Linked DNA regions of Oryzias latipes. The main gene of each other region encodes a partner of the protein of the gene in region 2 in a complex. Links are inferred from orthologs where the notes say so. Each region holds a gene or a part of one and is shown on either strand. Other genes may lie near its edges.

Region 1 (4,540 bases), on a different chromosome or scaffold from region 2:
GATGCATTTAAAATGCGTCACTAATTCTGCAAGTTGTCCCACTTAAAAAGATAAGTTTGATTTGTAGTGGATTTTTTTATATTTTATATTTATTCATGTATTGGAGCACTGCAATGTAATGACAAAGATCAAAGGTTTCTTGTAGGTCTCCAAGCAGGTTCCCAAACAATGTAACTGCTATTTTGGTCCATTATTCCATGCAGATCTTCTCAAGAGCTGTGATGCTTTAAGGATGTTGCTGGGCTACATGAACTCACTCCACAGTTTCTCTAACGGATTGAATTCTTTGGAGCACTGCAGGATTTGAATCCATGGTGATGTTGTGTTACTATAGTAACCTTAGTTACTGTGGTCCCAGGTCTCGTTAGGTCACCCACAAGTCCCAACATCTCAGGCGGATGTTGAACGTCAGTGATCTTATATTTCTTCCATTTTCTAACAATTGCTCCGACAGTTGATCTATTTTCAGCAAGCTGTTTGCTTATTGTAAATTGGTTCATCCCAGTTTTGTTCGGGTCTACAATCTTGCCCCCAGTGTCCTTTGACAGCTCTTTGGTCTTGGTCGTGGTGGAGATGTTGCAGTCCAATTGTTTAAGGGTGTGGACAGGTGCCTTTGATCCATTTAACCAGATCATACAGGTACCATTCATACAAGTAACAGGGAGAATTGAACAGCTTTTTAAAGAAGTAGTAACAGGTTTGTGGGGAACAGAATTCTTGTTTGCTAGCTGGAGATACATTTTATTTGCACCATTATAGGCTATAAAATGTTTTTTGGTTTTTTTATTATACAAAGTGATTCACGAAATTCTTTTCTTACATTCTGTCTGTCAACGTTTGTGTATTTCTAATGAACATCATGGACGCACTTTTAAGTCGCAGAATTGGCTACTAGAATACTGTTTAGCCCAAAATGTCTGCGTTGACTTCAAGGCAATTAAACAAACATAATTTGAAATTTCAGGCAAATTTGGAGACGTGTCTAGAAAAACCAGACGCTGTGTAACTTTCCTACGGGGTTTGGGAAAACAAAAAAGTTGAACTTTGAGCCAAGAAGAACCAAAGCAGTCTAATCAAACCTATGGATCAACTTATGTGGCTGTACTTTATACACTATATAGATGTTCACTGCATGATACAATGAAATAGTTGACATGTGCTGTCCAGGACTTTGAGGTGCGACCTTTTAACAAAAACGGAACCAGGTTTAGATGAGAACGACAGACAGGTTTTATTAAAATAACTACCACTTCATTGTGCATATTTCTGTTTTTGACAGCTCAAAGAGAGGACACTGTAAACAAAGGGAGAAGAGAATGAAGCTGTTAAGACGCAGTTTGAACATCTGGAAAATGTAGTTTATGATATAATAAATGCTGAATTTGTCTTAATCCTCTGAGATCAAAGAATGAATTGCTGTTTGTCTTCATGAGATTTTCAGTGCAAAGAACATGGGAGGAAGATAGAAAAGGGGAACTTTAAAAAAGAAAATCAACAAAAAAGGGAAACTTTTTGCTAATAATTTAGTATGAACCATATTGAGATGAAACATTAAAAAACAAGTTAGAAAAACACATTTTTTATGCTATTATAAATGCACAGACCAAATGTCCATTATCCAGTGTTTTAAACATAAAGGTGACCCAGGAACATTAACTGTTAAATGTAATGCGGTTGAAAAGTCTCACCTAAGAAACCAAATGAGGCGTACCAGTGCAAAAAGTTAGTCTAAAGCCCTTTTGTCCGTTTTTAGCTTTATGGGATCTTAAAAAGAAGAAACTGAAACATAGAAGGGAAAAATGTTATCTGTCTTCCTCTTTTGTCATTCCATCCGGAATTCCTTGAATTGTAAGAAATTCCAAGGAACTAAAGTCTTGTAGCACAGCGTTTCTGATCTTAGTTGGAATTAATAAAAAAATAAAAACTACCTCAATATGCTGAAATTGTGATACTTGGATTTCCAACAGTTGTTTACGTTACAAAATGGGCAGTGAAGGCAACATGAAGTCAAATTCCTGACCACAAACGTTTTGGCTGTTACAAACATGGATTGTTATTGAAGTACGTTTAAATCGACTCTGCTGTTGCCGTCATGACAGGCGAATTACAACTACTTTTATTTATTTTTAAATAACGTAACATAAAAAGTTAAGACCGTAAAACGAAACACCGGGAAAAGCTTTGATGTGTTCAAGTCCTGCCTCCAACATGTTGGCCCGATCCCCGCTCCGTGCCGTGGCCTGAGATTAGTCCTCCCAGCTCAGGCCTGTGGGCCAGGAAAACGGCTTTACTTTGAAACAAGCTGTAAGCTAATTATCCCCTCGATGGTTTAATTAGGTGGCCGAGTAAGAAAGGGAATTTCATATATGAGCAGAGGAAAAAATAAACCCAGAAAATCGAGTGGCAGAACTTTTCTGTTACTCTTGGGCGAGGTAGTCGGAGATCCACACAACTTCGAAGTGAGTCATTTCTACTCACCCGCAGTTTGTCGCTTCACCGGGAAAACCTGTGCTCGCGCTCGGAGCCCACTACACCGCCATACAGTCCCAAAGCCCGATCCTTCCGCCGAGCCCAACCGCCCTGCTTTTTGAACACCGTCGCCGCGGGTGAGGCGGGAGAGGGGGTTACACGGTCGTCGGCCGGAGAATTCTTTCCCTGCTCGGAGTTCTTACCATGGGCGGAGGAGCAAAGCAGAGCAGGGAGTTCCTGTCCCTGAAACAGGGAAACTCAACAGGAAACTGCGCTCACAGCTGCGGTTCAGGCCTCCTCCGCTAGGGCAGGAGCGCGCGCGCCCAGGATGGAAGGTGCAGCCAAAGGAATGTACGGTAACCTGGCTGGGTATGGAAAGCAAATGGAGCCAAAAATAATTCTAAAACGATACCAAATTTCAAATAAAACTCACTTTTAAAATGTATTGTATATGAAAATTATTCGATGGGAAAACAACAATGAAATGCATACACATGTGTATTTAATTGTATAAAAATATGTTTTATACAACATCCTTTGATACTTGTGTATCTAAGTGTGAACATAATGAACTGAAATGAGCTGGAGCCTATAGATCAGTGTTTTTCAACCAGTGTGCCGCGGCACACTAGTGTGCCGTGGGAGATGGTCAAGTGTGCCGTGAGAAATTGCCCTCATTAACTGATCTAAAAGCAATTACCATCTCCAGGAAATCAGCTCTTTGTTCATCCAAACAGGCCCTGATAAAACACTGAGAAGTTAAGAATATGAAATATCATAACATTATTTTTTCTTTGTGTTTATATGATTCTATTAAAGACATTTTGATAAGAATAACGGGATACCGCGATTTAGCTGCAGCTATAACTGTGTGAGGAAAAGTCCCGCCCCTTTAACTGTCTCCACCAATCATTCTTAATCACATGTCATCAGTCTGACCAATCAGACGTGGTTAAAGTATTCACTTCCTTATTTCGATTTAGCGCAAAAAAGTCTCTCTGTTCTAACAAAAATACCAGCTAAAGCTCGTCTTTAGCGGTGTAGCTTTCCACATAATCTGGTATCATACTGGAACAAGTGAACAAAACAATGAAGCTCAAATACGCTGGTCTTTCTGCGGTCGGCGGATTACGGGTACTACATCTCCCATGATGCAGTAAAGTGACTGTCTTAGCGCACAATGAGTCTCTCCTCTCAACGTCTTAAAACAACGAACACACATCAAACAGTTTTTGAATCTTTTGACTTAATTTTTAATACATCTTTTAGAAAAAACAGCTGCAGCTTCCAGCGTTTTCTGCAACAATTATCATAAAAATGCATGTGAGATTGCAGACCGGCTGTAGATCAATACAGACTGAGCTTTTTCTTTTTTTTTAATTTATCTATTTTTTTGGATGCTGGTGTGCCGCGGGATTTTTGTCAAGGTTAAAGTGTGCCGTGGCTCAAAAAAGGTTGAAAAACACTGCTATAGATCACCGTAAAGCTTGTTGTTTTGTTGTTTACACTTGCGTTGAGCAAAATTTCCACCATACAGCAACAAAATATCAGGGTAGGATTATAAAAGTTTGCCTCCGTTTGCCCATACCACTCAGCAAGAAATCAAGCTTGACCTGACTCTAGTTAATATTCACCATATTTAATGAATCAAATGTGAATTAAGTGTTTTTTCTTTTGTTTTGTTTGTTTGCTAACTCAGTGCATTTCGTAGTGAGTTTGATAAATCTGTGTGAATTTGTTTCTTGTATTGTCTAAAATTAGTGCTTGAAATAAACCGAATCAATCAATAAAAATATTACTTTGTGGGGATGTTTTTACAAAGCTCCATTTATTTACATTGGTGTCTTTGTGCATTTACTTGGCACCTCTTCCCTTTTGCACTTAATAACACATTTGCTAAGGTGCATAAAAAATAAAATAAAGTTTTTAAGTGTTCTGAAAAGAGCTTCTGGTAACCACTGAGCCTCACACCCTAACAGGAAACAGTTAACAGATCAAGTTTACAAGATAAAACATAATTATTATTTTTTTCTGATTCATTCTGGACTCAGAAAGGAAGAGAATCACAAGT
Region 2 (3,822 bases):
AAAGCAGCACTCAGTAAAAAAAAATACAGACCAGGAAGTTGAAAAGAAGAAGTTATGTTTTTTACAAAATTACAGCTTCAAAAAAAAACAGCAGCCCAATTGTTTTAAAAGCATCTATTCCTGCGACCTGAAAACTGTCCTGATTTACTGCAGGATAAAGTCCAGTGCGTTTTAGAAAACAGCCTGTTGTTGTAGAAACAATTGATCTTTGTAGAGGCAGTACCGTAGTTCTTTCTCCAACCAAGTGAAACGTCAAGATTTCCACCTTTACAGGTGACATGACCTTTACCATTGCTCAATAGTTTGATCAAATTTTATTTTCAGAAACCAGCTACTTTCCTAAACACTGCTTTTGGATATGTTTTTCACATTATTTTATCATTCAAAAGCAGAATTATAATCTATAGTTTTTTTTAAAATAAAAAATAAGCAAGTTTGAATAATAAACATTAGTTAACTGCTAACTAACGCATTAAATAATAAACTTAGTAACGCAAATTAATGCATAAAAGTGGCTGTTTATACTATAATAATTAGCTCATTCTTAATTAGACACCAACTAATATTAATAAAGGGACCCTGATTATAAAGTGTTATAAAATGTCTAAGACAACATCTCACTCGTAGGTAATGTTTTTTTTTTAGATTTCAAATTTATAAACCATAATTTACTATTTTATACAGTTTTTGGCACCAAAAGAAAGTCACTAGAATCCTCAGATTCAAAAAATACATTTTCCAGCTTGATAAAATGATTCCATCCTTTAAACACATTCTACTTTAACATTTTAGTTCAACTCAAAGCCAAGCAACCTGTTAAAGACAATGACAGCTATAACAGCTTGTTATACTTTAAGATGGAGCTGATTATTACTGTCAAAATGAAATAAAAAATGTTTATTTTAACTTACAAGTTCATAATATGATTTTATTTCCGACTCACTTGAGCAATTAACTGGTGAGTCAAAGTGAAAGAAGATGAAGCTTCTTCCAAAATGAAAATAGCTTTATGTTGTTGAACAGGCACAACAACAAAGCAGCAACTTCCTTATGTGAGACTGCAAAGAACAAGATAAGCTAAACATTTTTAAAGTGCTTTAAACATAAAAAACTAATGGATTATTTGATTTTTTTTGCCTGAAAAGATTATGTAAAATGTAAAGGATTGAATCTGATTCGTTTTTGTTTTTTTGCCAAGCATTTGAGTGGTTTAGTGCAGAATAAACTGTATGAAAGTCACTCAGCAAACTTGCTAAGCCGACAACAAATGTGTTTAATTAGCATCACTTTTCCAAAGCTGTTACTACTAACCCCCACTGGCTCATCAGATGCGTCAAAATCTGTGAACGTGGACTGCACCTCCGGCAGATGGGTGCTCGCGACATGCTAGCAGAAACATCAAAATGCTAGCAGCATGTGTGGGCTTGCATGCATAGTGCAACAGTACTTACTCTATGTCAGGAGGTGGAGGAGGCAGGAAGTCATCAGGGATGGGGGAGCCGGGTTCATAAGCGGAGTTTGTGCTGAGTTCAAGGGCGTCAGAAGTGAAGCCCTCCCCTGATCCAATACTGCCGTTCAGTCCCTCGGAGGAGTTTCTTTAAGCAAACAAAAGCATGGATGGACTAAACAAATTGTTTTTTTTAAACCAAAACATGAAAATGAGGCTAAAAACTATAAAACAAGGAGAAAAAAGTGAATTTTGCACAACAACACGGCAGAACATTAAATGATCTTTTAAAATGTTTGCATAAATCAACTTGAATAATGTCTAGTTTTGGTATTAAAACAGTGTAACTTAGGTTTTCTTTGTTTAATACGGGCTACACGTTTTCCCTTTCATTGTATGATAACACGACACGATGGCAAATAATGTCAAAGACCAGACTCTGGATGTTTTTAGGTTTACAGCAGTAGACAGCCATCCCTACACTCAACCCCCTCCCCATAGTAACATTCCCAGACAGGACGTACCATCCCTATCACTATGTGCAGATGAGTTGATAAGAATGAGGAGAATGAAGTTTCTAACGTTTGCTTTGGATCTGTGTGTTCACTGTTTTTCTGTGCTGGTCCTTTTCAAAGACCAGACTCTGCTGATTTAGCCCGATCGTGTGCATCTTGACCTAAAAACCTTTTAGTAAGGTCAGTAGGTAAACCATGTTTTTTTTTTTTTTGTAAGACGGTTAGTGAGACTTCATAGTTCCTAGTACTTAGCTCATCTCTGTAGCGTCTTATTGCCGTTTGTTTGCTTCTTTTGTACTAAGCCTTAACATAAACATAAGTATTGATCTGTTTTGGGTTTTTTTCATAGTGTGACTTTAAAAGCACCGTAATCCTAGATTCACGAGCACTGGATCAATCTGATTTCACCATACTTACAGTTCATTCTTTGGAACTACAAACTCCTCCCCCATCTTGAGCCGCTCCCATTCCTCCTTCCTGGTCTTAATTTTTCTAGGATTCAGTGTCCGTTGGTTCAAATTGTCTTTTTTCTCCTTCTACTCAGAACAGAGAAGCAGAAAGACAAAGTGGAAACGGCGTGAGATCTGAATGTGTTGGGGTGTAAACTTGTGGGCGCGTTTGTGTGTCTCACTCTGTGCTTGCGCTTCTCCTTTATGATGTCCTTGGTGTCCTGCAGCATCTGCTCCTTCCACAGGTCAAAGAAGTAGGAGGGGTCAGTGTAAAACTTCAGGGGCTCTTTTCCATCATCTCTGTAGACAATCATTTATAATATAAGTCACACTTCACGCCATCTTGACAGTTCAAGGGGGCTTGACAGATCATCTATCGCATAAACACATTAAACTTCCCATTTAGGAGTAAAAAAGAATCCCTTTTTTTCACAAGTTTACACAAATAAAGTTAAAAAAAAATGTTAACACCTCACCAACACTAAATGATCTTACTGTCTGTTAAACAAATATCTTGAAATTCAGCAAATATTTTTAAACTCACCTGCAGGCATCAGACTCTAGTCAGTTTTACCTATTTTAGATTAAACACACTTCTGATAAAATGCTGCAAAACCTACATTAGGAGAACAAGGTTTGTTGTTTTAAACATTTTCCCACAAACTATCACTGATGGGGATTTGATGAATTTGTGAAGAAACAAAAATGTACATTTCATGCATTTGCTTTTCTTTTTGCACTCTCAACCAAAAGAAAATAGCAAACACACACACACACACACGCATCTCAAAAATATCAGATCCTGCAGAAGTGGCCTTTATATCAAGATTATGATTATTTCCTTGACTATTTCTGGTCTTCTGAATGCTCTTTGGCTTATTTTAAGTCTAAACTTCATGAAAATTTTGCTGCAGGATCAAAAAGAGGCGTAAACTGTGCAGGAATATAAAACAGATTTGTCACACGTGTGTTCTGCCGGTGCATGAGACTCCAGAGTGTTTCCTATTCCTTGTGCGTGCTGAGTGTGTCTGTGGCGGTCGTTGCAGTGAATCTGAATCAAGCTCTGATGCAACTGTGGCTGGCTGTTGCCTCCTACCGGTACTGGCTGAGCTGGTTGAGTGGGGGAGGAGGATTGCAGGTCAAGTAGGTGTCCTGTATGGGCACCGGCAGAGACGGCCTGATGAACAACTGCTGGTCCTGACTTCGATCACTGCGAAAAGCCTTACGAGTAGTGATGGCCTGTAGAGAGACTGAGAGAAAAAGACAATTATTTTATTGAAAAAAAGAAACTGAAGTGTCGATGACTGATGTGACGTGAAAAAAAAGTACATACCTTCCTCCTCTTTAGGGTCTAGTTGGGTGACTTTAACCTGCAGACATTCCACTCTTTTGACAAGTGTGTCCACTCTAA

The links.
Region 1: wasf2 (region 2) and cytoplasmic FMR1-interacting protein 1 homolog share a complex: the UniProt entries of both Homo sapiens proteins name them as parts of the WAVE2 complex. The link is inferred for Oryzias latipes from reciprocal best matches to the Homo sapiens genes WASF2 and CYFIP1.

The regions. Positions count from the first base shown.
Region 1 is NC_019862.2:28,156,676-28,161,215, forward strand, and holds the start of cytoplasmic FMR1-interacting protein 1 homolog, read right to left. Parts: upstream 2,858-4,540; 5' UTR 2,673-2,857; exon of another isoform or gene 2,479-2,672; intron 1-2,478. UniProt on the Homo sapiens protein: Component of the CYFIP1-EIF4E-FMR1 complex which binds to the mRNA cap and mediates translational repression. In the CYFIP1-EIF4E-FMR1 complex this subunit is an adapter between EIF4E and FMR1.
Region 2 is NC_019869.2:21,796,541-21,800,362, forward strand, and holds part of wasf2 (wiskott-Aldrich syndrome protein family member 2), read right to left. Parts: coding exon 3,745-3,822; intron 3,662-3,744; coding exon 3,508-3,661; intron 2,712-3,507; coding exon 2,594-2,711; intron 2,499-2,593; coding exon 2,380-2,498; intron 1,596-2,379; coding exon 1,452-1,595; intron 1-1,451. UniProt on the Homo sapiens protein: Downstream effector molecule involved in the transmission of signals from tyrosine kinase receptors and small GTPases to the actin cytoskeleton. Promotes formation of actin filaments. Part of the WAVE complex that regulates lamellipodia formation.